2 linked regions of the Oryctolagus cuniculus genome follow. The protein of the gene in region 1 interacts with the protein of each later gene in a biochemical or structural test. Links are inferred from orthologs where the notes say so. Each region holds a gene or a part of one and is shown on either strand. Other genes may lie near its edges.

Region 1 (14,829 bases):
TTCAGTGGAGAGGATGCAGTGTCCCCTGCCACTTCGCGCCCCCGTGGCCTCCTCTGTGTTCCATTGCTTCTCCGGCTTCAGTGTGCTTTCTGTGAAACGAGCTTGACGGTGATGATACTGGCGATGGCTGATGTTGCCTGTGTGGTTACTGTGCACCTTGGTTCTCTGCATGTGTGGTCTGCTTAAAGCTCATAGAAGTGAGTCCCGGAGAAGTAGGTCTTGATGCTGCCTCTGCTCTGCAGATGCAGGAAACCCAGGCAGTGAGCGGGGAAGTAGCTCGCCCAGGTGAGTGCTGGCCCACAGGCTTGAATCCTTGCTTTGTGACCACAGAGTTTGTGATGGAGTGTTTAAAAGAAGAAAGCTTTATTGGGATGTAATTCACATAGTATATAATAAAGACATGCAGTTGGTAGTTTTTAATATGTTCAGAGTTGTGCAGCCATCGCTGCAATTTTAGAACCTACAAATGGATTTTATTAAAGTTTTGTTAATTTTTTATTTATTTACAAAACAGAGCAACAGAGAGACAGATGGACATCTTCCATCTCGTGGTTCACTCCACGAATGCCCACAAGATCCAGGGCTCCCATTTGGCTGGCAGGCACTTAGCCACTTGGGTCATCACCTGCTGCCTCCCAGGGGTGCGTGAGCAGGAAGGTAGAGAAGCAGGGAGGGGACTCAACCCAGACAATCTGATGTGGATGCAGGTGTCCTCAGTGGCGTCCGGACCCCTGTGCCATAGCACCTCCCACCCCTGGAGGAAGCCCATCCCCACTGGCGGTCACTCCTCATTCTCCCAGGAGTCTCAGGCAACCAGGAATCTGCTTTCCACCTCTGACTTTGTATCCTCTGGACCTTTTATGTAAATGGAATCACAGGATGTTTGTCACATTCCTCGTGGTTTGTGTGTATGTGTGTTTTTATGATTTATGTTTATCTGTTTGAGAGGCAGAGCCACAGAGAGAAAGGGAGAGACAGAAAGGTTTTATTTTTATTTTAAGATTTATTTATTTTTATTTGAAAGAGTTACACAGAGAGGCAGAGGCAGAGGCAGAGAGAGAGAGAGAGAGAGGTCTTCCATCCGCTGGTTCACTCCCCAATAGGCCACAACAGCCGGAGCTGCGCTGATCTGAAGCCAGGAGCCAGGAGCTTCTTCCAGGTCTCCCATGCGGGTGCAGGGGCCCAAGCACTTGGGCCATCCTCTACTGCTTTCCCAGGCCATAGCAGAGAGCTGGATCGGAAGTGGAGCAGCCGGGACTAGAACTGGCGCCCATATGGGATGCCGGCACTGCAGGAGGTGGCTCTACCCACTGTGCCACAGCGCTGGCCCCAGGAAGGTTTTACTTTATTTTTGTTTAATAGGCAGAAATAGATGGGGGGGGGGCACAGAGAAAGAGAGAGAGAAAGCGAGCTCCCATCTGCTGTTTATTCCCCCAAATGCCTGCAATGGCCAGGACTGGGCCAGGCTACAGCCAGGAGCCAGGAACCCTGGACAGGTCTGCTACACTCACAGATGGCCTAGCCATCATCTGCTGCCTTCCAGAACACTGGACTCTGAACAGAGTCAGAAACCAAACCCAGGCATTCCTGTGTGAGATGCAGGCACCTAGTCCTAGTGCAAACTAGTCCTCTGGCAGTCAGGGGTCGGTGTGCGGGAAGCACACATCAAACCTCGTGTAGAAAAGGATCCAGATCTGGAGTCAGACCCCAGCTGCAAATCCCATCTCTGACAGTGGTGAGCTGGGTAACCCCACTCCCACCCCTGGCCCTGGCTCACTGTCTGTAAAATGGGCACAGTCCAGCTAACTCACAGGGTTGTGGGCATGGCACCCTCCTGGAGCTGAGTGATCCTTTAATTTCCCGTTCTCCTACCCACCTCCCCTGCGTCCAGGGCGTGTGTGCGCACATGTGTGTCGTAAAGCTTCCAAGCCGTGGATTAAGGGTTCTGACACATCTGTCTGTGCTGAGGATATAAGAGCACGAGTGTTTTGTGGAACAGTCCACTCCCCAGTGACGGCTGAGCCCGGCAGTGTCCTGAACACACCTTGCAAGGTTATCCCTCAGGCTCTGAATGGACTTCTCCCTCTGTGTAGGGTGCCCTCCTACCTCACGTCAGCCATCCTTCATCCTTGAACTCCGCAGCACTCCAGTGGGAGAGAGCGCCTCCCTCTGCCCCAGGCCTCCTGCCGCCTTGTTGTAACTGTTGCCTGTGCTGTCAGTTTCTTAGGCCCTTGCTGTTGCTCCATCACTCACCCTGCCACAGCCCTGCATGGCTGTGTTTCTCCCATGAACACCCTAAGCTTGTTTCCCGCCTGAGGGTCTGGGCACTTGCCGTTGCCTCTCCCAGGAGAGCTATTTAGATTTTCTTGGGATTCATTTTTTTCTAACCTCACATCCCATGGTCTTTATTGGCATCTGAGATTATGGGTTTACTTATTCACTGTGCTTCCTCTCACAGCCCTCCCTGAGGGTCCCTGCCACCTGCAACACTGTCCACACATCACAGGTCCTGTGTGCTTCCTGCTATTTTTCTTTTAAAGTTTCTATGAAAGGCAGAGTGACAGGGAGGGAAGGAGGAATGGGATGAGGAGTGCAGAGAGAGATCTCCCATCGGCTGGTTCACTCTCCAAATGCCTGCAACAGCTGGAGCTGGGCTAGGCCAAAGCCAGGAGCTAGAGCTTCCTCCATGCCTCCCACGTGGGTACAGGGACCCAAGCACTTAGGCCATGTTCTGCTGTTTACTCAGGTGGATTACCAGGGAGCTGGGTCTGGAGTAGAGCAGCCAGGACTCGAACCAGCACCCATGTGGAATGCCAGTGCAGCAGACGGTGGCTTAACCTGCTTTGCCACAGCACTGGCCCGAGGCCCACCTCTTACTGCTGTCACAGGGGGTGTCTTTGTACCCTGAGTTTAAGGGGCTCTGCCCATTCAAACCATAGGAAGTAGGGGACTGTGTGCAGGTGCTCCTCAGCTTGTGATAGGGTCGCATCCCAATCAACCCAATGAAAGTCTAACCTGCATTTGGTGCCCCTCACCTCTGAACCACTTAGCTCAGCCCCAGCACCCTGTGGAGCCTTGGTGGTTTCTTCTGTTGGCTGTGGGGGTCTCACCTGCTGCTACCACAGGGCGTTGTACTGCATGCTGGTAGCCTGGGAAGAGACCCGGCTCTGGGTGTGTCTTCTCTTAATGTGTGTCACTTGGATACCATTGTGAAATTTACAGATCATCAGGACAGGCACTGTGGGTAGTTAGGAGTGGTTAAGGTAGTTTATGTTGTGTTATATGTATGTGTGTTTAAAGGTTTTATTCATTTTTAGAAAGATGTATTATTTATTTGAAAGGCAGGGTTAGATAGAAGAGAGAGATCTTCCATTTACTGGTTCACTCCCCAAATGGCTGTGATGGCCTGGGCTAGGCCAGGCCAAAGCCAGGAGCCAGGGGCTTCTTCTGGGTCTCCCACCTGGGTGCAGGGGCCTAAGTGCTTGGTTCATCTTGCGCTGCTTTCCCAGGCACATTCATAGGGAGCTGGATCAGGAGTGGAGCAGCCAGAGCTTGAACCTGTGCTCCTGTATGGGATGTATCGTAAATGGCAGCTTAACCCGCTGCACCACAATGCTGACCCCTGTGTTACATGTTTGAGTACCATTTGATAAACAAAATTAGTGTTGCCAGAAACTGACATCTTCCAAAATCACCATGGACGAATCTAGAACTCAAATGCTGGGACATGTCTGGCTTCTGGGCAGTATGCATGAAGTGCAAGAAATGGGTCAGTTTCCTGAGGCCTGGCAAAGCAGTGTGCTGGCCCCCAGCTGCCTTGTAATCCATGCTGCTTTGCCGCTGAGCCCAGTGAGCCAGCTCCTTGGGCTGAGCCTGCCTGGGCACATGGATCCTGCAGATGCCTGCACAGCTCGTGTCGAGGCACCCACTCAGCTACTAGGGGTCCTGCCCTCTCAAGTTCAGATTTGGAGCACAATACAGTGTTCCTTTTCCGAGCCATTAGAACGCTTAGTGAAGAGCTGTACCAAGAATTTGTTCTCATAGAATTCCGGGGAAGGGCAGGAGCAGCATGAGCTCTGCTTAGAGGTTGCCTCATTTCTTGCTGACCCGGGGCCTCTGAGGTGCACATGGTTCCAGGTCACTTTGACGAGGAAGCAGCAGAGGCTCCAGGGCCCCACAGTTGAGTGGCAGAGCAAGGGTTGCACCTTGAGGACTTTGCTTCGGTTTCAATCAAGTTGCTTCCTGTGTGGTCTTGACCTTGTGCTCCACCTTTATATCCATCGCCCTCTCAACCCCCAGTGGCTCACACCCTTCTTCTGCCACCTGCTTGGTGTGGTGCATGGTGTGTCCCTGCCCTGTGGGAGCAAGAATGACCAGGAGCTCCCCAGGACCTTGTATCTGAAATCGGAGCTCCAGCTTCCAAGCTCCTGCCATCCCAGCAGGCATTTCTAGATGTCCAGAATCTTTCCATTTGCATTTCCATCCCTCCCTAAGGCAGAGAGACAAACAGAAGGCAGCCTGTTTGTTGTTCTGTTATCTGTGAAGTTTATAGAAAGGTTAGAAAGAGGAGAGAACTTTGCTGAGCAAGCACTCTGTCCTGGACCGCTGCCCACTCTTATCTTCCCCTGGTTATCTCCAGGATTGGAGAACATTTTCTCTTGGTGCCTCGTACTTCTATGTATCATTACCAGTTCTTTCCCAGCTGGCTTGTGCTTTGTATATGAGATGATCTGTGTCAGTTCTCTGAATATTCAGAGAATATTAATATTATTTTAAAGGTCTCATGTACAGTTATTCCTCAGTGTCTGTCAGGTATTGGTCTAGGACCCCCTGCCCCTGCCCCCTTGGAACCACAGGCTGTGCACGCTCAAGCCCCTTGGATAGGCTGGCATGGTCTACGCGTATCTACACACGTCCTCTTGGATGCTTTGAGCCACGTCTAGATGATCGTAACACAGAGCAGTGGCAGTGCTCGATGCATCGTTGTTGCACTGTCTTGTTGAGGGAGGGGTGCTGAGAAAGAAGTCCGTGCATGTTCTGTACAGGCACAGTTTTGGGGAATGCTCTCCCTCTGTGCTTGGCTGCACCTGCCGTCGCAGAGGCTCTGGGTACAGAGGGCACACGGAGTGCCGACTCTGCTTAATCTTCTCTGCTGATACACGGCCATCTCCTATGGCTAGGAGAAGTATCTCCTGGCACACGCTGGTTCCTCGCGTGGGAGAGGGGCCGCCTTCTCTTCTGACCTCACAAGTGGGGCTTTACAACGCGCGCAGCAGCTCTGCCGTCTGGATGCGGCACTGTGTGAGATGACAACAGGATTTGCCGCGAATGTGGGGCACTATTGTATCCGCCTTATGTAACCACGTGGAGGCATGGCCATGGGTGAGCAGCCTGCGAGGTAGGCGGCGGCCAGGCCGGCTCCCAGGAGGCCATGAAGGCTGCTCGGGTGCTACACAGGATGTGGATCCAGGCTGTGAAGAGCTGTGGGAGACTGAAAGGCCATGTGAGTTGCGGGGCACTCTCCCCCTCTCTCCTGGGGGAGAGGAGCCGCTCTCACAGTGGCTCCTTTATGCTCGGGCTGACTTGGGCTCTGCAGACCGTGGGGTGTGGGCAGCGGTGGGTTGCTGACAGCCATTCTCTGGGCTTGTGCTGCAGAGCTGCTGTTTTCTGACGTTGGGAATCTGCTGGCATGGTTTTCGCTTCCTACATGTGGCTTAATGTACGATTGTTTGCATTTGAGGGTTTCTCATTTGGGGTAAAACAGTGTTGTCTTCTTGCTCTGCAGAAATACGTGCTGTTTGAACTCCCTTTGTCCGGTTGTCTCAAAGATCAGAGAAGTTGTTTTCCATGTGTCCCTTGTGTTCCTGTGTGCTTGGAGCCTGTGGCATCTGTATCACGTGTGCCGCTGAGGAGCTTGGGGGTTCTATGGAGTGTGTCCCTGTGGGTGGCTTTATATTAAACTTGGTTTTCAGCTGTGATCTCCATCTTCGGAAGCAGCAGTTTTAGTGAACAGAAAACCTGAAAGTGGCCTGTTTAGGAGACATTGAGGATATTTGTATCTGAGTTGTGACTGCTCTTTCTGTAAAACACATTTCTGAGTTCTTATGTGAAATATATGTGATGTTTAAAAATCCAGTTGGCCAAGGTTTTCCATAGGAAAGAAGTTTTAATGAAAAGTAGAGGATGTTTTCTTTAATAGGAAACAAATCAAATAACTACTTGTCCAAGTCCCTCTCTCTCCTTTTATTCACACAAATACCTGATCACACAGACTTTATTTGTGGTACAAAAGTCAGCCTTCCAGGGGATCCAGGAGGGCTTGTCCTGTCTGGGCGGGGATGGAGAAGTAGGAACGATAAGGAGAAGTGATGAGGAGCGTGCAGAGGACCCTCCTGGTGGGCAGCATGTTGACCCTCAGGTGGAAAAGATGACTTGGAGCCTTCAGCACCTGCACCCTCTGCACTGCCCCCCGCCCCGGCATCTCCATGCCTGCGCACCACGCTTGCCTTTCTTTGTCTCCCCGAGCTGGTGCCACCCCCACTTTGCCATCTCTGTTCTGCCCTGTCACTTTGCGAAATCGGAACTGCAAAATCAGTATTAGATGACCATTTGGTATTGGGTCCCTGTCTGGGAACCAGGGACTGCTGGATGCTCCTCTCACTCGCTTTGCTGTTCTTGTAACTTAAGGAATCTGATGCCTGTAAAAGAGTTCAGTATTGAGTGACGCAGTGTTGATTAAATACCATGAGCTCAACCCACATCCCATGGACCTCACCGAGACAGAACACACGACCCTATGTGTCACTCCCTGCCTCGCCCTCTGCAGCCTGCCCTGGCCACTTTGTCCTGAATTTTGTGCCTTTCATCCCCTACTTTGATGGTGTAGTTTTACTACACACACACACACACACACACACACACAAAGCACATAACACAAAATCTACCATCTTAACCCCTTTAAAGTTTTCATTTGAGTAGTGTTAAATGTGTTCACATTGTTGTAAAATGTTGTTTGCCTCTTTAACTCTTTAAAAATGATACCGCATGAACCAATCCCTCGGCATGTTTTTCAGTCCACATTTTATTAGAGATATGTCCTGTGCCCTGTTGTGCTTCTGAGTGTATGTGGCTGTGGTTGGTTTGTTTTCATGGCAGTGCAACTTTGTATTTTTCTTGCTGTTTGTTCTGCCCTTGGTAGATATTTGGTTTCCCAATTGTGGCCTTTGAGAACATGGCCGCGGTGCCTGCTGTAGCCAGGTATCCTACGTGCACGTGATGTGCACATGTCTCCGCGTTTCCTCCAGCTGCTGGATGCGTGGCCCTCCCTGGAAGGCTTCCCACACCCTCAGCAGCCACCCGCTGGCATTCATGCACAGTCCATGTGTCAGCAGCAGGTCTGAGGCTCCCACAGCCCAGCACCATGGGTGGGGCCAGAGCCTGGTGGCCCAGTTGGAGCGGCCTCAGCTCAGGTCTCAGCCGAGCTGACTCACGCTGCCTCCTGCCCGCGGGTGTGTACGCAGAGCTCACACTCTGAGGAATATGGGTGATAGCGTGGGGTGCCCTGTGCTTCCGAAAAGGTACTGGAGAAACTTGGCAAGGCAGACACGCTGGTTTGTTTTCTGGGCACTGTGGCTAGCTGGAGAACTCCACAAGGGCTCTGGCTGCTGTGTTCTGTTGTGTATCCAGAGTGCCACAGACTGCGTGCTTGGCACATATGGGATGCTCGGTTAATAGTTTTGAATGAATGGTGGTGAGATTGTTGCAAAAATGCACAGCTCTGTGTGCTAAATATACATGCTAAGGATACATTTTTAATGTTCAAAGTGCTGATAAAATTGCTTTTTACCTGGGGCCGGCGCCGTGGCTCAGTAGGTTAATCCTCCGCCTGCGACACTGGCATCCCATATGGGCGCCGTGTTCTAGTCCCTGTTGCTCCTCTTCCAGTCCAGCTCTCTGCTGTGCCCCAGGAAGGCAGTGGAGGATGGCCCAAGCGCTTGGGCCCTGCACCCACATGGGAGACCAGGAGGAAGCACTTGGCTCCTGGCTTCAGATTGGCACAACATGCCGGCTGTAGCAGCCATTTGGGGGGTGAACCAACAGAAGGAAGACCTTTCTCTCTGTCTCTCTCTCTCACTGTCTAACTCTATCTGTCAAATAAATAAATAAAAAATAATAAAAAAATTGCTTTTTACCCAATCCCTACACCTTTAAGATTTTAGATTTTCCATTTAGTTTAGCACAGTAAGTTTCCTTGTAATATTCTGGTTAATGTCTTAACCTGTTAACTGTGAGTGAGAAGAGAGGCTTCTTAGATTCTAATCAGTTTCCTATCTGGTATCTGAGGTTTTAGATAACTAGGCAAGTTAATGGCCAGATCTGACCATTTGAAATTTTGATTCCGCTCTATTGATGGTGATAATGGTAAAATGTTGATCCTGTCTATGACAAATCAACTTTGAGAGAGGATATGAATCTTCCGTCTTCTGATGTGCTCTACAAATGCCTGGAACAGCTGGGCCTGGGCCAGGCCAAAGCCAGAAGCCTGGAACTCCTTTGGGTCTCCCATGTGGGTGGCAGTAACCCAAGTCCTTGAACCAACACCTGCTACTTCCCAGGGTGCTCCTTAGCAGGAAACTGGGATCAGAAACAGAGGTAGGATTTGATCCAAGGGATTCTGACTTGGAATGCAGTATCCCAAGCAGCAGCTTAACCTGCTGCACCACAACGCCTGCTCTTGACAAATCTAGTTTAAGTTGCTCTTTAAGTCATACAGTAGTGCTTACAGAGAGTGTTCACTCATTAAGGAAGAACCTGAATTTCAAAAGCCAGATTCATTCTACCTGGAAACTTTTAAATAAAATTTTGTAGCAACCCTTTATTTTGGGTGTGTGTGTGTGTGTGTCAATGATCTATTTTAAATCTAATAATTTAAAAAGATAGTTTGTACTTTTATTTTTAAAATAAAAATGTGTTTTAAAAGTAATGTCTTTGGGACCAGCACTGTGGTGCAGAGTTTAAAACTCCTGCCTTCAATGCCATCATCCCATATGGGTGCTAGTTTATGTCCCGGCTGTTCTACTTCTGATCCAGCTCCCTGCTAATGTGCCTGGGAAAGCATCAGAGGATGACCCAAGTCCTTGGGCCTCTGCCCCAAGTGGGAGACCCAGAAGAAGCTCCTGGCTCTGAATCAGCTCAGCTCTGGCCATTTCAGCTATTTGGGGAGTGAATCAGCAGAAGGAAGATCTCTCTCTCTCTGCCTCTGCCTCTGCCTCTCCCTCTCCCTCCTCTTCCCCCTCCTCTGTGTCTTTACCTCTCTCTGTAACTCTTTAAAATAAATAAAATAAATATTTTTAAAAAATAGTAATGTCCTCATACAAAAATATTCTCAGTAATATCACAACTCCTTAGGAAATTTAATACATTTTGGTGTCCTTCCAGTCTTTTCCAAATGTGCTTATGTAATTATGGATTTGTGAAAATAAGAACAAACAATGAAGTTTTGTTTCTTGATTTCCTCCCTTGTACCATACTTTTTAAGTACAGATCTCTATATATGTATAGTTATCTCCTTAGTGAATATTACATTGGTTTTCTGTTTAAAAACTTAAAAGTGGGGCCGGCGCCTTGGCTCACTTGGTTAACCCTCTGCCTGCAGCGCCGGTATCCCATATGGGTGGCCGGGTTCTAGACCCGGTTGCTCCTCTTCCAGTCCAGCTCTCTGCTATGGCCCAGGAAGGCAGTGGAGGATGGCCCAAGTGCTTAGGCTCCTGCACCCACAAGGGAGACCAGGAGGAAGCACCTGGCTCCTGGCTTCGGATTGGTGCAGCTCCAGCCATAGCGGCCATTTTGGGGGTGAACCAAAGGAAGGAAGATCTCTCTCTCTCTCTCTCTCTCTCTCATTGTCTATAACTCTGCCTGTCAAATAAAAAAAAAAAAAACTTAAAAGTGGTTTTAAATTACTCAACTTTTTGTCATACAATAAAATATCTGATAAGCTATATATGAAGAAAGGAGGTTTATTTGGCCCACAGTTTTTGGGGTTCACAGCACACAGGGTGGGCCCATGGGTGTGAGGCTGCTGGTGAGGGCAGAGGATGGTGGGCAAGCATCTGCAGCCCAGCCTCCCTTTCATATCCTGCCCTCCCATGAGAAGCACCTCTCAAAGCCACGCCCTGTGCCTCAGGCCTTCGCACCAGGCCCACCTCCTAACTGGATTAACTTTCCTCCCTCTTAATACCATTAGTTGGTGACTTGGGCACTTAACTGCAGAAGTTTTGGAGCTATATCCTATTAAAACTGTAGCAGGTTGTGTCTGTGCACGCTGCTTTGATGCTAACCTGGGATGTTCTTTGAAGCCTGTGTTTAGGTTCTGTGTGTTCTTTGGGTAGGATTTCCATTTGCCTCTATGTAGGCGATGAACACACGGGACCACCTTGAGTGTGAGTGTTTGGGGAAGTGTGGTCACATCAGACATGAATCTCAGCACTAAACCTGTGTGTGTGCAGGTTTGTTGCTAGAAGTTCTTTGGAGGGATGGTTGTAGAGCCATGGACGAGACAGGCAAGTGTCCTGCCATCTCCTTCTATGTGGCAGTACATTTTCCTGCTCAGTGATCACCCAGATCCAATCTTCCACCCAGTTTGCATCTCCTTCTCCCAGGATCATGCTTTATGCCAGGCTTTGAGCTTTCTTAGTGTATGTAGCCCTGAAAGGCAGCTTGCCTTCAATGGATTATTAGAATTTTTATCACGACAGCACTGTTTGTCGGGTTTTTTGTCAACATCTACTGTGGAATATTGTTGGAGACAGAAGCCCAGTTTTTGAGCCATTTTCATCCTTCACATCCAGCCATACAAATGGAGGAAAAGCCAAAAATACCACAGATTGTCCAGCTGAGCGCACTGTGATGAGGCCAAGGAGGTCCTTGGACACAGATGTGCAGAAACTTCCCTGGGACACTGCCTTTTACAAGGAGGGGGAGAGGGGTTCAAAAAATGAGAAAGCAGTTTTTCAAATTAGATTTTTAAAAATTTATGAGGGGATGAGAGAGAAATCTGCTATCTGCTTGTTTACTCTCCAAATGCCTGCAGCAGCCAAGGCTGGGCTAGGCCAAAGTTAGGACCCAGAACTCAATCCAGGTCTCTCAGGTGGGTAGCAGGAACCAAGTCCAATAGCCCTCCTTGGTATGCACTAGTAGAAAGTTAGAATTGGAAGTGGAGCTGAGGTCCAAACCCAGGCATCTCATGGGGGATGCTGGCCTCCCAGCTGGTGTCATCATTGGCTGTGCCAAACACCTGCTCGTGAAACACAGGTGTTTGTAAAGGGATTTTTGTGATGATAGTGTTTTTGGAATGCTGATAACAAAGGGCTCAACACCTAGCACGTTGTTCCCTCTCTCACCGTGATGTCTCTAAATTTTCTAGTGGCATTGTTGAGACTGCCATTGCCTTGAAGGGGGAGTGCATTTGAAAGTTGATAGCATAACTTTCCAAACAGATATCATCTCTTTTTGGCATGCAGAAAGTGTGAACTGGACTTTGTATTGAGATATGTTGAATTTTGGCTTCATTTCTGGCATTTGTGGTTTTAATCAGATTGGTTTTGTTTATTTTAAAACAGGCCCCAGGCATGGAAGAGCTGATATGGGAACAGTACACCGTGACCCTACAGAAGGTGAGTTCTGTGTGGGATTCATGGGTTGTATGGGCACATTCTGGGTTTTATGGATCACAGATCTTACCATTTTTGCCCATATGCAGTTTTGGTTTATTCCCCCTTCAGTTAGGTAATACGTTACTGGTGTAGGTAGCAGCTGTCAGACACTACTGGGTTGACAAAAATTTGCATGCTATTGTGTGTGTGTGTGTGTGTGTGTGTAAGATTTATTTATTTACTTGAAAGTTAGAGTTATAGAGAGGCAGAGGCAGAGAGAGAGAGAGTCTTCTATCTGCTGATTTACTCCCCAAAATGGCCGCAATGGCCAGAGATGGGCCATTTGGGAGCCAGGAGCCAGGAGCTTCTTCTGGTTCTCCCACATGAGTGCAGGGGCCCAAGGATTTGGGCCATCTTCCACTGCTTTCTCAGATGCATTAGCAGAGAGCTGAATTGGAGGTGGAATAGCTGGAACTCAAACAGGTGCCCAAATGAGATACTGGTGCTGCAGGTGGTGACTTACCCACTACACCACAGCACCAGCTCCTCTATTATATATTTTTAGTGAAGTCTGTATACTATAGAACGTTTTAGAGGTTATTTAGTGTATTCCGCTGTCTGCAGATTGAACAGGTACACAAAAGAGAAAAGAAAGGGAGAAATGAAAATGACCTGTACTGAGGTAGCCTTTATAACTTCTAGAGTTTTGCTTGTAACACATATTCCTATATTGCTCTCAGTGAGTTGTTTTTTTTTTTTTTTTTTAAGATTTATTTATTTATTTGAAAGTCAGAGTCACACAGAGACAAGGAGAGGCAGAGAGCGAGTGAGAGAAGTCTTCCATCCACTGGTTCACTCCCCAATTGGCCGCAATGGCTGGAGCTGTGCTGGTCTGAAGCCAGGAGCCAGGAGCTTCCTCTGGGTCTCCCACGCAGGTGCAGGGGCCCAAGGACTCAAGCCATCTTCCACTGCTTTCCCAAGCCATAGCAGAGAGCTGGATCAGAAGTGGAGCAGCTGGGTCTCAAACCAGCGCCCATATGGGATGCTGGCACTGCAGGCTGTGCTTAACCCGCTGCGCCACAGCACCAGCCCCTCTCAGTGAGTTCTTTAAAAATATTTCTTATTGGGCCGGCGCCGTGGCTCAATAGGCTAATCCTCCACCTTGCGGCGCCGGCACACCGGGTTCTAGTCCCGGTTGGGGCGCCGGATTCTGTCCCGGTTGCCCCTCTTCCAGGCCAGCTCTCTGCTATGGCCAGGGAGTGCAGTGGAGGATGGCCCAGGTGCTTGGGCCCTGCACCCCATGGGAGACCAGGAAAAGCACCTGGCTCCTGGCTCCTGCCAGGATCAGCGCGGTGCGCCGGCTGCAGCGGCGGCCATTGGAGGGTGAACCAACGGCAAAGGAAGACCTTTCTCTCTCTGTCTCTCTCTCTCACTGTCCACTCTGCCTGTCAAAAAAAAAAAAAAAAAAAAAAAAAAAAAATTTCTTATTGGGGCCGGCGCCGCGGCTCAATAGGCTAATCCTCCACCTAGCGGCGCTGGCACACCGGGTTCTAGTCCCGGTCGGGGCGCCGGATCCTGTCCCGGTTGCCCCCCTTCCAGGCCAGCTCTCTGCTGTGGCCAGGGAGTGCAGTGGAGGATGGCCCAAGTGCTTGGGCCCTGCACCCGCATGGGAGACCAGGAGAAGCCCCTGGCTCCTGCCTTCTGATCAGCGCGGTGCGCCGGCTGTGGCGCACCAGCCACAGCGCGCCGGCCACGGCAGCCATTGGAGGGTGAACCAACGGCAAAGGAAGACCTTTCTCTCTGTCTCTCTCTCTCTCTCTCACTGTCCACTCTGCCTGTCAAAAAAAAAAAAAATCTTATTGGTTTACTTGAAAGTTAGAAAGAGACAGACACAGGGATATCTCCCATCCACTAGCTGACTCCCCAAACGCCTGCAATGGCCAGGGCTGGATCAAGGCAAAGCCAAGAGCCAGGAGCTCAATCCAGGTCTCCCATATGGGTGGCAGGACCCCAGCTGCTTGAGCCATTGCTTCTGCCACCCAGCATGCCCATCAGCAGGAAGCCAGATTCAGGAGCAGAGCTGAGGCTCCAGCCCAGGCACTGTGATACGGGATGGAGCTGTCCCAAGTGGCATCTTAACTGCTAAAACATGCATCTGCACCCCTCAGTAAGTGTTAAGTACAAACTTAACTGGAAAATATTGGCAAAGGAACCAGGAGAACAGTTCTATTTCTTGTCCCGTTCCTGGTTATATGAAGAGGGGTTGAGGCAGTCAAGTTAAAAATGCCTTTGAATGTCTTTGCCTCCATGGGGTTGAGAGTAGAAGTAATAGCCCATGTAAATCTGTTGTGCTTAACAAGTGCATTCAGAAGTATTACCCATGTAGCTTCCATCCACGGAGCCCAGTCTGTATTCAGTGTGTAGCAAATCCGTGTTACACATTCATGGTTCTGAATTCTTACTCCATCACTGTCTGCATGTCAGCATTGCTCGGATTTTCCTGGGACCTACAGGGCTTCCTCTCTCCCTTCCTAGAGGGACTGCCAGTTTCCTTCGTGGAGAGTTTTCCTTTGACCTTCAGAATCTTGCCCTGTTTTCCATGAAAATTTGGTTCCTGAATGAACTGTTTATTGAGTTATCCAGGTGGGAAGAAATGTCACAGTGTCCACGGGCCCACACTCCCAGATCACTGCTTACTGTTTTCCGTTGAGGGCTTTGCCTGCTTAGGTGTCATAATTCAGCTCCTCTCCTCTTTCTGGCTCTTCTCGATGCCCTTGAGTTCTGAATCCCAAAGTGGCAATGGTGAGAGACTTTCTGGCTTGATAAAGAGGATGGAGCTGCCTCTGTCCTGAACCAGGCGCCAGCTGTTGGTTCTGCCAGATTGAAAGCCATGTGATTAATAAACAGCAGTGCAGCCTGTTGTGAGTTTATCTTCGTTTGTCATCAGTCAGAATAGTGGGGCCTTTTCCTTGGCAGGAAAGATTCTCTGAGTTGATTTTGTACAAGCCCACCTGATTTAGGATTGCACAGTCACATACACCCGTATTGTCTGGATGAAATCAGGCTTAGCGCTTTTAAACACTGAAGGGAATTGGGGTTATGTAACACCTGGGTTTGCTGTTGTGCATCGCTCGCTCATTCCTGGATGCAGTCGATCTCTATTTCCCTCCTGTATCCA
Region 2 (14,929 bases), on another chromosome or scaffold:
CCCGTGCTCAGAGCTCCCTGTGGCTGGCTCATCTCATCACTAAGGCCTCAGCTCAGATGTCGCCTTGTCCCGGCAGCCAACTGCTGCTCCTCCACCTGCCTCTCCTGGCTGGGCCGGCTCTATCCTTTTTTTTTTTTTTTTTTTTTTTTTGACAGAGTGGACAGTGAGAGAGAGAAACAGAGAGAAAGGTCTTCCTTTGCCGTTGGTTCACCCTCCAATGCCCGCTGCGGCCGGCGCACCGCGCTGATCCGAAGGCGGGAGCCAGGTGCTTCCCCTGGTCTCCCATGGGGTGCAGGGCCCAAGCACCTGGGCCATCCTCCACTGTACTCCCTGGCCACAGCAGAGAGCTGGCCTGGAAGAGGAGCAATCAGGACAGAACCAGCGCTCCAACCGGGACTAGAACCTGGTGTGCCGGCACCGCAGGCGGAGGATCAGCCTATTGAGTCGTGGCGCCGGCTGTTTTTGTTCTTGAAACTCACTCACCACCATCTGAAAGTCTCTTGCTCATCTGCAGGTTAGTCATCCTTGCATTTCTTCTGCCAACTAGAGCACAGCCTGCCACAGGGACCCTGTCTGTCTTAAGTCCACTGAAATCCGGGGGCTCAGAACAAGGTTGGTATACCTTGGTACTAAGTCCATATTTTTTTGACTGAACAAATATTCCTTTGCATGTACGGTTCCCATACCTGGCACTCAGACCACACCCTGTGTCAATATGCATCCACAGAATAGGAGCCCTAGACAGTCACCCTTTGTAGATACCTCCGGATGCCACCAAGGAACTCCAAACAAAATCAGAAAAGCCTCCACATCGAAGCCCTCGGCATGAGTAAAAGAAGGCTGTCCCTAGAACCAACAGAATGATGAGAAATGTGTGATCCGCCCGAGGTGGATCAGTTTTACATCTGATCAGTTCAAATGATTTTCCTAGAGTTCAGATCAAGGTTAGGATGATCACTTTGTAAAGTCTGGGGACCCAGGAGGTTAAAGAGCCCCAGGAAGTTAAAATTAGACATGGGAACACAGTATTTGGTCAATGTTTACTTTTTTTCTCTTTCCTCTCTGGAATTTACAAGATTCAAGAAGACCAGTTCTTGAGAATGGCCGCAAGACCCATTTTCCACTGCAAATGGATGACTGATAAGTTTTTAAAAAAAATTTAAGGGGCCAGCACTGTGGCGTAGTGGGTTAAGCCTCTGCCTATGGCAGCTCGGGCATCCTATATGGGCGTCAGTTCGTGTTCCAGCTACTCCACTTCCAATCCAGCTTCCTGCTAATGCACTTGGGAAAACAGCAGAAGGTGGCCCAAGTGCTTTGGCCCCTGCACCCACGTGGGAGACCAGCATGAAGCTCCTGGCTCCTTGCTTCAGATCAGCACGGCTCTGGCCGTTATAGCCATTTGGGAACTGAACCAGTGAATGGAAGACTTTGCTCTCTGTCTCTCCCTCTCTGTTTGTAACTCTACCTCTCAAATAAATAAATAAATCTAAAAAAAGATTTATAAAAAATTTTAAAATATTTATTTATTCTTAAAGTCTGAGTTACAGAGAGAGGGAAAGGTGGAGAGAGAGAGATCTTCCATCTGCTGGTTCACTCCCCAAGATGGCTGCAACAGCCCTTGCTGGGTTAGGCTGAAGCCAGGAGCCAGAGTCTCCCGTATGGGTGCAGGGGCCCAAGCACTTGGGCCACCTTCTGCTGCTTTCCCAGGCACATTAGCAGGCAGCTGGATAGGAAGTGGAGCAGCTGGGACATGAACTGAAGCCCAGAGGGGATGCTGGGGTTGCAGGCTGCGGCTTTACACACTAAGCCACAATAAAGGCCCGACCAGTGCAGTTTTAAAGATAAAACAGATTTTCTTCCAATCTGTAGGGAAATGTCCTGCCCTGCTGCATATGATTGGTAAACTGAATTTCAGGCCAATTACCTAGAGTAAGGCCACAGAAAGGAAAAGAAAAGAAAAACCATCCCCAGATCTCTTTCTCTGCATCATCCATTGCGACAATATTCTGGCCCATACCAGATCTCTCTCTCCGCAGATGATGGTACCAAACCTACTCTGATCCAATGAAGTTACGGTTACTTTCTGTGGGTATTTGAGGAATGTTATTCACAAAACAACACACCTGGGCTGGCGCCGCGGCTCACTAGGCTAATCCTCTGCCTTGCGGCGCCGGCACACCGGGTTCTAGTCCCAGTCAGGGCGCCTGATTCTGTCCCGGTTGCCCTCTTCCAGGCCAGCTCTCTGCTGTGGCCCGGGAGTGCAGTGGAGGATGGCCCAAGTGCTTGGGCCTTGCACCCCATGGGAGACCAGGAGAAGCACCTGGCTCCTGCCATCGGATCAGCACGGTGCGCCAGCCGCAGCAGCCATTGGAGGGTGAACCAACAGCAAAGGAAGACCTTTCTCTCTGTCTCTCTCTCACTGTCCACTCTGCCTGTCAAAAAAAAAAAAAAAAAAAAAAACCAAACACACAAAACAACACACCTGGACTTAGGTCAGTAACCACCTTCCAATCAGGTCTCTAAATTCTATCCTTAAAAATATTTTGTATTATAAAATAAAAAATTCCCACAAAAATTTATGACATATATACACAGTTTAATACAGTATTATAAGGACTGGTACTGCAGTGTAGTGGTAGAGCCACCACCTGTGGGGCAGGCATCCCATATGGGCGCTGGTTTGAGTCCTGGCTGCTCCACTTCTAATCCAGTTCCCTGATAATGCAGGAGAAGATGGCCTAAATCCTTGGGCCCCTGCACCCGCATGGAAACCCGGAAGAAACTCCTGTCTCCTGGCTTCGGATCAACCCAGTTCCAGCTGGTGCAGCCATTTGGGGAGTGAACCAGTGGATGGAAGACTTCTCTCTCTCTCTGACTCTGCCTCTCTGTAACTCTGTTTTTCAAATAAATTAATTAATTGTTTTTTAAAAAACCACAGTATTAGCAAGTCACCTGAAGTACAGTGAAGCTGTTGGGAACACGAGTGCAGGAACCACATGACCTGGGTGTGAATCCTGTCTATCACCAAGCAGATAACCTGAGTAAATGATCAACCCTTTCTGAGCTGTAGTTTTCCAATGCATAACATGGAGAAAAGAACAGTACATCATATGGTTTCTGCAAAGGCAAAAATAACAAAAAATCAAAAGCTCATGAAACACACAGCACAGCACCTGGCACACGCCTTTCTCTGAGTAAGGAAGGTTGTTACTATTAATTATTATTTCAGTTGTTGAAGTTCCTGTTCAGCTGTCGATTCTCTTTGTTCCACCTTGGATTCCTCCTGGAAGGATCTTGCTTCCTGCACAGGAAATGAGGAGACAGAGGTTCACTCCCTCACGTAATCGTCCTCTTAGAAATTGCCTTCCTGCTCACTTCCCCATAGATCCTCCCACTTATCCAAGGAAACTGTGCTCTGTGGAGGAGGGAGCCTCCCCCGTGGTGGGGTGGGGAAACAGGGTGCCCTCAGCAACTCCAAACTGAATTGCTCTTGAACAAATACCAAACATTGGATTCATCCACTAAGCAGGTGCAGCAGAGTGGAAATATTTTAATCTCTCTTCTTTTCTTCTCTAAGCCCTAGTTCTCCAGATGTAAGTCTTGAAATGCTACCAAGGAATGTGTTGGTTTCACAGTGTTGGCTGCCTGAGAGATGGCTAAGACTGCAGACAAGTGGGGCTAGGAGAATCAGGGTTAGATTCACCGACACACTCACTCAAGCAATATTTCTGGAAAACTTGTGTCTCGGGGACTATTCCCGGCCGATGGGACACAGCAATGACTTGCTAAACATTTACTGAGACTTGTTTTATGGCCCAGCGTGCAGTCTGCCTTGGAGAATGTCCCACGAGCCTACCAACTACCTTGTATGGTACTATTTATTATCATCCTGGATGTGCAGTGGAGAAAAATTAGACTATATAATTTCCAGCTACTAATTGGCAATGCAGACTTGAATGCAGATTTCTGACAGTATAATCTGAGCAGAACCTTCTCCTTTACATATAATAAGGAAGAGAAAACCATTTTTAGTTTTATCATCCATTTGACTGCAGGTAAAATCAACAAATTTCTAATCATAGGTCTTCTGAGAATAATATTTACTTGTTTCTGAGTCATGGGGATGCTAATCAAATAGTAGTCAATAGTGAGTTGCCAAGAAGCAATACTTGGTAAAAATATAGTTAATTTTTGCTACAATTTATGATTATGTGACATGATGAAATTGAGTATAGTCCTTTACCCCCAATAATAAAGTTTGTTTTGCTGTCGAAGATATGTTTAAGTTTTAAGGTTGGATTTTTTTTCTAGATACTTTCAACTACTACCTAATGTGTACAGAATGAGTATTAGGCAATAGGTCAAACCACACTAGTTTTTGGATCTTTCACTGTTGTGAGTATAGTTTGGAAAACTAATCTGAACTAAATATAAATGGTATAAAACATTTCCCAGAAATTTAATTTAGTATTGAGTTAAACCATATGAAGTTGACATTTTTGCAATTAAAAAATGATCAACTATTGCCAGTTTCATGTAGTTCAACTTAACAAATCCTACTATCCCTATGCATGGGCTCAGCAATACCTAGGAAGTCAGTTTCAGGGCAGGTGTTTGGCACAGAGGTGAGGACAGCACCTAAGATGCCTGCGTCCCACAGCCGAGTGCTGGGTTCACCCCCTGGCCCTGGCCCTGCCCCTGAATCCAGCTTCCCACTAATGCAGACCCTGGGAGGAAGCACACCACCCACATTGAATTCCTGGTTCCTGGCTTCATGGCTGTCCACTGAGGGCATTTGGGGAATGCCAGCAGATGGAAACTCTCTCTCTGCCTCTCAAATAAATATGTAAAAAATAATAAAACCCTACACAAAAGAATTCAAAAGAAATCCACACAAAAACTTACACATGAACGTTTCTAAATCTCTATCAACTGATGAGTGGATTAAATGAAATGTGGAACAGCCATACACAGGAGTGTTACTCAGTCATAAAAAGGAATGGGGTGTTGGTACCTGCTTCAGCACACATGAATCTTGAAAACAGCATGTGAAATAAAAGAAGCCAGCCACAAAGGCTACACCCACTGACCCTCTGGATCCATGCATTCAACCAACTCTGGATGCAAACCATTTGGGAAAAATAGTTCAGTCTATACTGAACAGGTACAGACATTTTTCCTCATCATTAGACCCTAAATATAGTACAACCACTGTTTACACAACACTTATATTGATGACACAGTGTAAGGGAGATACACACAGGTTATATGCAAATAATAGGATGTTTTATGTAAGGGACTTGATCCTCTCAGATTTTGGTGTTCTTGGACACCAAGGGATGACTGTCTTCTGTTATCTACTCGTATAAAATGTCCAGCTTGGGCAAATCAATAGAGACAGGAAGACAGAAGCTGGGGAGAGGGAAGTGGAGAGTGCGGCTCCTGGGTCTGGGGTGAGGGAAATGTGAAATCAACCTCGTGAGTGTTTCAAAAATCACTGACTTGAATGCACACTTGGAAAGGATTCATTTGATGTTGTGTGGAATACATTTCTTTTCCAAAAATAGAAAGAAATTCGGAGGATCACCTCTTTGCTGTACTCTATTGTTAGGGACTGTCAAGATACATTGTAAAGTAAAAGACACGTGTTTACAAACCTCGGGAGCATTAGGAAATGTTCCCTTGTTTAATTATAAACCGACTGGAATGTTCGGAGATTTCAGTAATCTGGCATTGAACATTAAGAGGATTAACTTGACTTCCCCAGTGTTACCAATACTAATTTAAACGGCATCACTCAAAAACTACAAACACCCTGCAAGGATGACTTCCACGAAAAAAAAAAATACCAATTAGATTAATTACCTATTAAGGCTGTCATCATTTAAAACACCTTATGCTATATTTACAAGCTTTTACTTCCTTCAGTATTGAATTGTGCCTTAAGATCTAATATTCGGGAGCGTCACAGCTCTAACCACTTATTAAAGGCTCAGGGGTGGGCGGGATTGGACAGAGACTCATCGGCAAGGCTGGCATCCCAGGAATAGAGTCAGGCTTCAAGAAACCTAAATTCTCGCTTTCAAGGCAGACCCGTGGTAAGAACTAAAACGACCACATCCCAGGGTACAATTTTGCTAAAAAGTCGAAATGCAACACTGTCGCAGACATAGACCGTAGGCGGTCAATCACAGACCAAGAAATAATAGAAATCTATTCTCTTAGTTACCAGACTAAGGTTTTTTTTGTTTTGTTTTGCTTTTTCTCTTTGTCTTTTAAGCCAAAGAGACTACCGAAAACAGTTGAAAAGCCGCTCAGAGCCGCCTGCCAATCATAGAGTCTCATTCGGGGGTGGAGGTGGGGTTGAGGACCCGGCCCCCGGCCGTTACTCTGAGCGACGGGCTTTTCCCGAAAGTGCTCCTAAACCATCGCGCCTTCCCAAAGTGTCTCCCGGGGTCTGCGGTTGGAGGAACGCCTCCGGGTCGCTTTCTCCCGACCACCGCTCAGAGGGGAGGAAGGCGTGCGAGGACGAGCAGCCCCGCACGCCTCCCTCCGCCTCGCCCCGCCAGCTCCCGCCGTGCGCCAGCCCCGGGGGGCTGCACCGCCTCCCCCGGCCTCCCGGGAGCCCGGGCCGCCGCGGCCGAAACGCGGTGCGGTTCCTTTAACGGAGCGCGCCCGCGGGGTGTGCGGGGCAGGGCTGGGTCCTCCGCCTGCCGCTGCCCGCTCCCCTCCCCCGCCCGGGCGAGTTTCAGGTGAATGGGTCACCGGGGGAGGAGGCCGCCGCACCACACCTCTCGCGAGCGCCCGCCTCCCCTGGCCGCCCGGGTCGCGCGCAGGCAGGCGGCTGGAGTCCGGGCAGCGGCGGCCGGAGCGCGGGGGACGCGGCGGCGGCAGGTGGGACTCGCGAGGGCCTCTCGCGCCCCTGGCCGGGCGCGGGTGCGCATGCCCGGGGCAGGGCGGCCGGGGCCGGGCGGAGGCCGAGGGCTGGGTCCCCAGCGCAGTCCCGGGCTGCCCGCCGGCGGCCCGCGCGGCCTCAGGTGCGCCAGCCAGGTGAGCGCGCTCCTCGGCTCCTGCGGCCCCCGGGTGGGGGGCGGTGAGTGGGTGAGAGTTGGGCGCGGCGCCAGGGCCGCAGGGGGCCCCGAGGGTCCCCGCTGGGCGGCAGAGGCGGCGCCGGGGAGGACGCTCAGCGCTGGTTTCGGTGGCGGTTTCGCCCGGGGGCTGCGGGACCGTGCAGGGAGCAGCGCCTGGCGCTGGGGGAGGCTGCGTGCCCGGGCCGCGGGGGCCCAGCTTTGTTCGACCCAAGCGCTGCAAGTGACCAGGGTCCGGGCGGCGCGGGTAGCTTTTCTGTTTTAGGGGGGCGGGAGGTGTAAGGACTGCGCGCTAGGCTCTACAGGTCTTTTTTTTCTTTTCTTTCTTTCTTTCTTTCTTTTTTTTTCTTTTTTTTTTTTTTTTGAGTGGGGGTGGTCCTAGGCACAGGGGCGCGGCGCCGGCTGCAAGGTCCTAGGCCAGGGGGTGGGGGCCAGAGGTCACTGGCCGGCCGGGGCGGCTTTGGCCGCACCCCACCCCCTTGGGCGTCCAGGCGAGGGGTGGCCGGTTTGCTCCGGGTCAGAATTCCTGGAGTCGCGCCGTGAACCACCCTGGCCTTTCGAAGCCACTCCGTGAGAGTTGTTTGAACCCGCGTCGATTTAAGCCAGGGGCGGAGAGTGAGTTTCGAGTGAGGCTGGACTTCTAGGGAAGCGGCTCACGCCTCGGGTCCTCACCCGTGACCGAAAGGCCACCGCCAGGTGGGCGGACCTGCCTGCGGCCGAGCCTGCCCGAGCGCCGCGGAGCGCGCGGCCGGGGACCCACGGTCGCCGCCCGACCGGCCAGTGTGGGAGCCAAAATGGCCTCTGCGCCCTGGGGCTGGGAGCCCCTCCGAGTCCCTGGCGTCTTTGTGGAGCGCCGGAGCCCGAGGGGGAAGCCCCGGGGCTGGGCGGGCTGCAGGCCGCTTTCCAGGTTCTGCACAACAGGTGCATTATTGGGATCCTGGGAAAACAGGAGCTCTTCCCACGAGGGTGATTCGGGTGACGTGCTGAGGTTGAAACCTGGTTCTTTCTAGGTGGAGGTAGGTTTCTCAGACTTCTCGCAGGTGCAGCAGTTGTTATTTTGCAGGGTACCTGTGTTTTGTACTACTGGTGTTTTTAAAAGATATTTTAAATGGTGGAGCCACACCTATAGATATCTCCTTAGGCAAAATAACACTCAGTTAAAAAAGTTTGCGTTTATTTAGTTGTTAGGTGTTTGTTCCGTGGAGAGGGGGTGTAGTGACATGGGTAACACAGGCTATGCACCTGCCAGCAGGTTCTTTACCTGGCTGTTTAGGGAAGTAATGGGCAGTGCCTTCTCTACCCAAGGCAGGTCCTGTTGGACCTGCATTTTAAGGTGGCTACCGGCTTGCAGGGGAAGGATGGAACATGGGCTGGCTGGAAAGCTTCACCTGACCTGGGAAGGTGTGTCGGATGCCTCAGTGCTTGATAGTCCAGCATCAGAGTAGACTTGGCGAGCTTTCCTGAGGTTCTCTGCCATTGACCAGTCCCTGTGGCCTTGCCCGACGTAAAGGTGGAATTCCTCATTTTCTCCTGAAGATAACGTGGGAATTGCTGGTGTCTTTTCAATGAGGCAGTTCTGTGTCACCGCGTGAGTAGACGGGTACATCTTTCACCTCTGAGGAGCTTCACAGAAGGAAGTTTTCATTGATTGCATTAAAATAAGAGGTTTATTTATTTATTTATTTGAAAGGCAGAGTTACAGAGAAAGAGGAAGAGACAGAGAGCGAGAGCGAGCGATCTTCCATTCGCTGGTTCACTCCTCAGATGACTGCAAAGGCCAGAGCTGGGCCGATAGTAGCCAGGAGCTTCTTCCAGGTCTCCCACGTGGGTGCAGGGGCCCAAGGACTTGGGCCATCTTCCCTTGCTTCCCCAGGTGCACTAGCAGGGAGCTAGATCTGAAATGCAGCAGCGGGGACTCTAACCGGCACTCATATGGGATGCCAGAGTTGCAGGCGGCGGCTTTAGCCGCTATGCCACAGTGCCAGCCCCCCAGTTTCTTCCCCCCACTTATTTGAGAGGCAGAGAGCCCATGCACAAGCGCTCTCATCTGCTGATTCATTCCCAAATGCTCACAGTGGGCAGGGGGCCACAGTCGTAGCCCAGAGCTGGAGTACAACCCCAGGTCTCCCACTGGGATGGCAGGAGCCCAGTCATAGGTGTGTCACAGGTACCTCCCAGGACGCCCACCAGCTGGAAGCTCAAGTTAGGAGTTGGAGTTTAGAATTAAACCCAGGCACTCAGATGCGTGTTGTGGGCATCTTAACTGCTCTAACCTATACTTTTAAAAGGCAAATTGACTCTTGCTGCGTGTGATGTAAAAGGAACAGACTCCCCATAAACACAGTAAGGTTACCTGTTCACTTGTTGACAGTTTTCCTTAAGGAATAAGGTGAGAGCAAAGCATTTTCAGACTCTTTCCCAGCTCAGCTTATGTTTCTTTTTTAAAAAAAAAATTTTTTTTTTATTTGACAGGTAGAGTTATAGACAGTGAGAGAGAGATAGAAAGGTCTTCCTTCTGTTGATTCACTCCACAAATGGCCACTACAGCCGGCGCTGCGCCGATCTGAAGCCAGGAACCAGGTGCTTCTTCCTGGTCTCCCATGCGGGTGCAGGGGCCCAAGGCCTTGGGCCATCTTCCACTGCTTTCCCAGGCCACAGCAGAGAGCTGGATAGGAAGTGGAGCAACTGGGACTTGAACCCGTGTCCATATTAGAATTAAACCCAGGATGCTAGCACTGCAGGTGGTGGCTTTACCCACTATGCCACAGTGCTGGCTCCGAAAATGCACTTTTTAAAAACAGCTCCTGGCTCCTGGCTTCACATCGGCTAAGCTCAGCTCCGGCCGTTGCGGCCATTTGGGGAGTGAACCAGCAGATGGAAGATCTCTCTCTCTCTCTCTCTCTCTTTCCCCCTCTCTGCCCCTCTCCGTGTAACTGTGACTTTTAAGTAAAATAAATAAATCTTAAAAAAAAAGCTAACTCCAATACATTAAAAAAAAAAAAAAAAAAACACAGCTGCACTGTGGCTGGTGCTGTGTTTAGCTGCCTCCTACTGTGCCGGAATCCCATGTGGATGCTGGTTTGCATCTTAGTTGCTCCACTTCCCATCCAGCTTCCTGCTAATGCACCTGGAGAAGCGCAAGTCCTTGGGCCCCTGAACCATGTGGTGTAGCCATCTGGGGGGTGAAGCAGCAGATGGAAGATCTCTCTCTCTCTCTCTCTCTCTCTCTCTCTCTGTAACTCTACCTTTCAAATAAATAAAATTTTTTTTTAAATAGAACACCATAAAGCACCTGCACTGAAAACACCAGGTCTCCTTTATTCTGCACTTAAGCTCTTGATTTTTAAAATTAAGTTTACATTTTAATTTTTTAGAAGATTTTATTTGAAAGGAAGAGAGAGGGAGAGAGAGGGAGAGATCTTCCATCTGCTGCTTCACTTCCTAAATGGCTGCTGTGGTCCAGGCTGAAGCCAGGAACCAAGAACTTCATCCTAGTCTTCCATGTGGGTGACAGGGACCCAGGTACTTGGGCCATCTTTTGCTGCCTTGCGAGGCACATTAGCAGGAAGCCTGATCAGAAGCAGAGCCAGCTGCTCCATATGGGATGCCAGTGTCTCAGGCAGCAGCTTAACCTGCTGAGCCATAGCACCAGCCCCCAAGTTTGCATTTTTGGAATGCTTACTTGGCTGATATTCAGCAGGCCAAAGTATGCGGGACAAGCAGGATTGGTTAGCACCAGTTTATTGGAAGGTTGTTTCACTTTGCAGAGGAAGGGCTGCAAGGGGTGTGTCTCAGGGAGCAGCTGAGCAAAGAGGAGCATGTGCTGGAATGTTCTGGGCCTTTGCCTGCCTGAGCTAGAGGTAGGGACGGACGGTGGTGTCTTGCAGGTGTTGTGGTAGTGTGTACTAGCCAGGCAGGAAGCTCGCTGGGTAGGGGTGCGGGCACTTGCTTGGGGAATTCTCCAGAATCACCAGGTGTGAGGACTTTTCTTTTTTAAAAGATTTATTTAATTTATTTGAAAGGCACAGTTATGGAGGTGTCGGGGGAGATACAGAACGATCTTCATCTGCTGCTTCACTCCCCAAATAGCTGCGCCAGTTAGGGCTGGGCCAGACCGAAATGAGGAACCAAGAGCTTCTTCTGGGTCTCCCATAAGGGTGGCACTTGGGCCATCCTCCCCTGCTTTTCCAGGTGCACTAGCAGGGAGCTGGATTGGAAGCAGAGCAGCTGGGACTGGAACTGATGCTCATATGGGAGACCCGCTGTGCCACAGTGCTGGCCTGCAAAGTTTCTGTACAAGGCCTCAGAGAAAAAGAAATGGCTGAGTGTGTGTGTGTGTGTGTGTGTGTGTAGGGAGTCCTTTTCCCTAACATTCCCTCCTCTTGTTATTTGGTGAATATTCTGGTGGATGGGGTGAAGGTCAGTTCCTGCTGAACGGGCTGGCTGCAGGGCTGCCCCTACCAGGAGAAAGGGAAGCTGGGAGCACCTAGTGGTCACGGGTGCCTTGGAGTGACACCTCCCGAGTTTGTTGTCGCCTTTGTAAAGCTTCCCTGAGAGCCTGGACCTGCCCTTGGATGAAGAAGGGTAGAATTTAGGAGACAGGGAGGGACCCTGGAGGAATAGAGGAAGGTTGTTATAGGACCCAGAAAGGGAGCTGGCCAGGAGGACCACCCTCAGCCATTGGTCTTGGAACTCCGTTGGTCAAAACTCCCCTGCCAGCCATGTTTAGAAAAGTTTATGGTGTTTTTGATCATGGTTTTTTTTTTTTTTTTTTTTTTTTTTTTTTTTTTTTTTTGACAGGCAGAGTGGACAGTGAGAGAGAGAGACAGAGAGAAAGGTCTTCCTTTGCCGTTGGTTCACCCTCCAATGGCCGCCGCGGCCGGCGCGCTGCAGCTGGCACACCGCGCTGATCCGATGGCAGGAGCCAGGAGCCAGGTGCTTTTCCTGGTCTCCCATGGGGTGCAGGGCCCAAGCACCTGGGCCATCCTCCACTGCACTCCCTGGCCACAGCAGAGGGCTGGCCTGGAAGAGGGGCAACCAGGACAGAATCCGGCGCCCCGACCGGGACTAGAACCCGGTGTGCCGGCGCCGCTAGGCGGAGGATTAGCCTAGTGAGCCGCGGCGCCGGCCTGATCATGTTTTTTAGGTCGATATATACCTTACTGGACTGATGACCGAAACAGTAGCCTTTTTTCCTCTCTGCATGGCCTAAGTTCCCCCTTGATTAGCAGAGGATGTGAAGTGCTTGACTGCTCTATACCATCACGCCAGCCAGGAAGGTGAGCGCTTCCTGCACAGGGTCAGCTTCAGCTCTCAGGGCAGCAGTTTGTTGGCTCAGCTCGCGTGAGACCTGCCTGGCTGCAGATGTGGCCTGGAGGGGTCCGCCCGAATGGATGGCTGTGGCAGCTAGGACAGGTAGGATCGTGGAGTCCGTGAGCGAAGTGGAATGGGATGCTGTCACTGATTAGTGAGAGCTTGGGCATGAGTAAGCAGGCGTGCAGGTCCCAGGCCAGCTGGCCGGCAGGCATAGGTGGGTACTGGTTCCGCAGACAAAGTCCGGGCTGTGGGCGGGCTCTAAATATGGATCAAGACTGAAATAGGCTTAGACAGGAAGGAAGTGGAAGTGTCGGTCCCTTCATTAGGTAGAGGTAAGGGTCGTCCCAGCTAACGGGGTAAGCAGATCGCTGTGTGAGGCAGGCTTGAGGAGCTGTGTGCCCGTGTGAAGGGGAGAATGGTGGGATTTCACCCAGGCCCTCAGAGGAATGTAAACTCTTGTAGTCCTTTTGCTTTGTGAGGCTGGCCAGTGGGGCTGGGGGTCTGTGGGCCCCTTCAGACAGAGGTGGATGTCCTTCACAAGCGGGCTGCCCGCTGTGGCTGGAAAGCCTGTCTCCATACCAACCGGCATCTCCCCGATGCTAGCTTCTTGTGCTGCACTTGTGACCTTGCAGCCTTAAGTCACCTTCAGGGTGGGTGCAGTCTTTCACCTGGGGCTAGCAGAGGGAGGGGGGTCTGAGCCCCTAAGGAGACGGGCAGTCTCCAGGAGGCCGGTACTATCTCCGTGAGCCCCAAGCCAATCAGCACATGTAAAACCCCTTGTCCAGGGGCCAGCGCTGTGGCGCAGCGGGTTAATGCCCTGGCCTGAAGCGCCGGCATCCCATATGGGTGCCGGTTCTAGTCCTGGCTGCTCCTCTTCCGATCCAGCTCTCTGCTATGGCCTGGGAAAGCAGTGGAAGATGACCCAAGTCCTTGGGCCCCTGCACCCACATGAGAGACCTGGAAGAAGCTCCTCGCTTCTGGCTTCGGATCAGCTCAGCTCTGACCGTTGCGGCCAATTGGGGAGTGAGCCATCGGATAGAAGACCCCCCACACCCCGGCTCGCCTCTCTCTGTGTAACTCTGACTTTCAAATAAATAAATAAATCTTTAAAAAAAACCTTGTCAGTGGGCACCTCCAATAGGATAACTCAGTATACAGATAGCAATGCTTTAAAAACCCGAGACACTTCCTCAAAGCCAGTGTTCCATTTGGGCACTCCCCTGGTCTCCTCTTGGACCAGGCGCTTTCTCTATTGCTTACCAATCAAATAAAAGTTTGCAAATTTGTCTCCCAGCTTTTTATTTCTATACTAAGCTGAGGAAAAGAACCCAAGAGACTCGCTCCAGCAACCGCCCTCCACTCTGTGACCATTAACACTTTGTGTTGGTTGGAATCAGAAATTGTGGCCCTTGAAGGGCCAGTGGGTGCTGCCTAAATAACTTGTCTGTCTCTAGTTGGTGGTGAGATGGTAGGGCTTTGGGAAGAATATATTATAAAAGAGGGAGGTTGAGTGATAGGTGTGTGGGGAGTTGGTTTGGTCATGGGTGATGGACCCACTGTCCACTGGGAGAGGGGGTGAAGGACTGATTGCATGTCTGTAATGTTGGGAGGAGCTCCCCCTGGATGTCCTGGTGGGTGTGGGGGGATAGGGGGTAGAAGAGACACAAGGAAGGGCTTGTCTGGAAAGAGACAGGAGAAAGTGGGTCCATGGCGGTTGAACTGTGGCCTGTTTTCCAGATGTTTGAGGAGGATATGGGAGTTGGTGGACTTGACCCTGAGATGGATGGCCCGTCTCAGTCCATTAGAATAGGAAAGGGCAGGCTTGGTTTTGAGCTGACTCCAGTCAGTTGGGGAAGCTTGGATTGTGATCAGTCTGTCCTGGGGGAATTGTAATTCCAAGGCCTATTTTGATTGAGGAGGTTGAAGGTCACCTGGATAGTGGGGAGATAAGGGCGTGGGAGTGGGAAGGTATGGGTTGAGAAGGAGGGAAAAGTTGACAAGACAGAGAGGCTGAATCCAGCCATGGGGGGGATATAGAGTTGGATGTGCAAAGAGATAAGGACCCATAGCAGCAAAAGAGTTCATAATAGGGGGTGTCGGAGGGCTAATTGAGAGAGAGGAAGAATCAGCCAAAGTGGAGAGAGGCTCGTGAAGTGACCTCGTATTAGGGCCTGGCATTAAGAACAAGATTTCAGATCAAGATGTGACAATTTTGCACATCTTAAGTTTTTTTTTTTTTTTTTAGATTTATTTATTTGAGAGGAGAGACAGAAAGGTCTTCCATCCTCTAGTTCACTCCCCAGATGGCCGTAATGGCCAGAACTCAACTGATCCAAAAATCCAGGGGCTTCCTCTGGGTCTCTCACGCGGGTGCAGGGGCCCAAGGACTAGCTAGAGTCATCTTCTACTGCTTTCCCAGACTGTAACCGAGAGCTGGATCAGAAGAGAAGCTGCCAGGACACGAACCGGCACCCATATGGGATGCTGGCACTGCAGGTAGAAGCTTAGCCCACTACGCCACAGAG

The links.
Region 2: the proteins of TJP2 (region 1) and OCLN form a complex in vitro, tested with the Homo sapiens proteins (3 studies listed by BioGRID). The link is inferred for Oryctolagus cuniculus from reciprocal best matches to the Homo sapiens genes TJP2 and OCLN.

The regions. Positions count from the first base shown.
Region 1 is NC_091432.1:161,213,086-161,227,914, reverse strand, and holds the start of TJP2 (tight junction protein ZO-2), read left to right. Parts: upstream 1-5,407; 5' UTR 5,408-5,431; coding exon 5,432-5,503; intron 5,504-11,618; coding exon 11,619-11,672; intron 11,673-14,829. UniProt on the Homo sapiens protein: Plays a role in tight junctions and adherens junctions. Acts as a positive regulator of RANKL-induced osteoclast differentiation, potentially via mediating downstream transcriptional activity.
Region 2 is NC_091445.1:90,427,625-90,442,553, forward strand, and holds the start of OCLN (occludin), read left to right. Parts: upstream 1-6,608; 5' UTR 6,609-6,752; intron 6,753-6,754; exon of another isoform or gene 6,755-6,894; intron 6,895-6,910; exon of another isoform or gene 6,911-7,050; intron 7,051-14,929. UniProt on the Homo sapiens protein: May play a role in the formation and regulation of the tight junction (TJ) paracellular permeability barrier.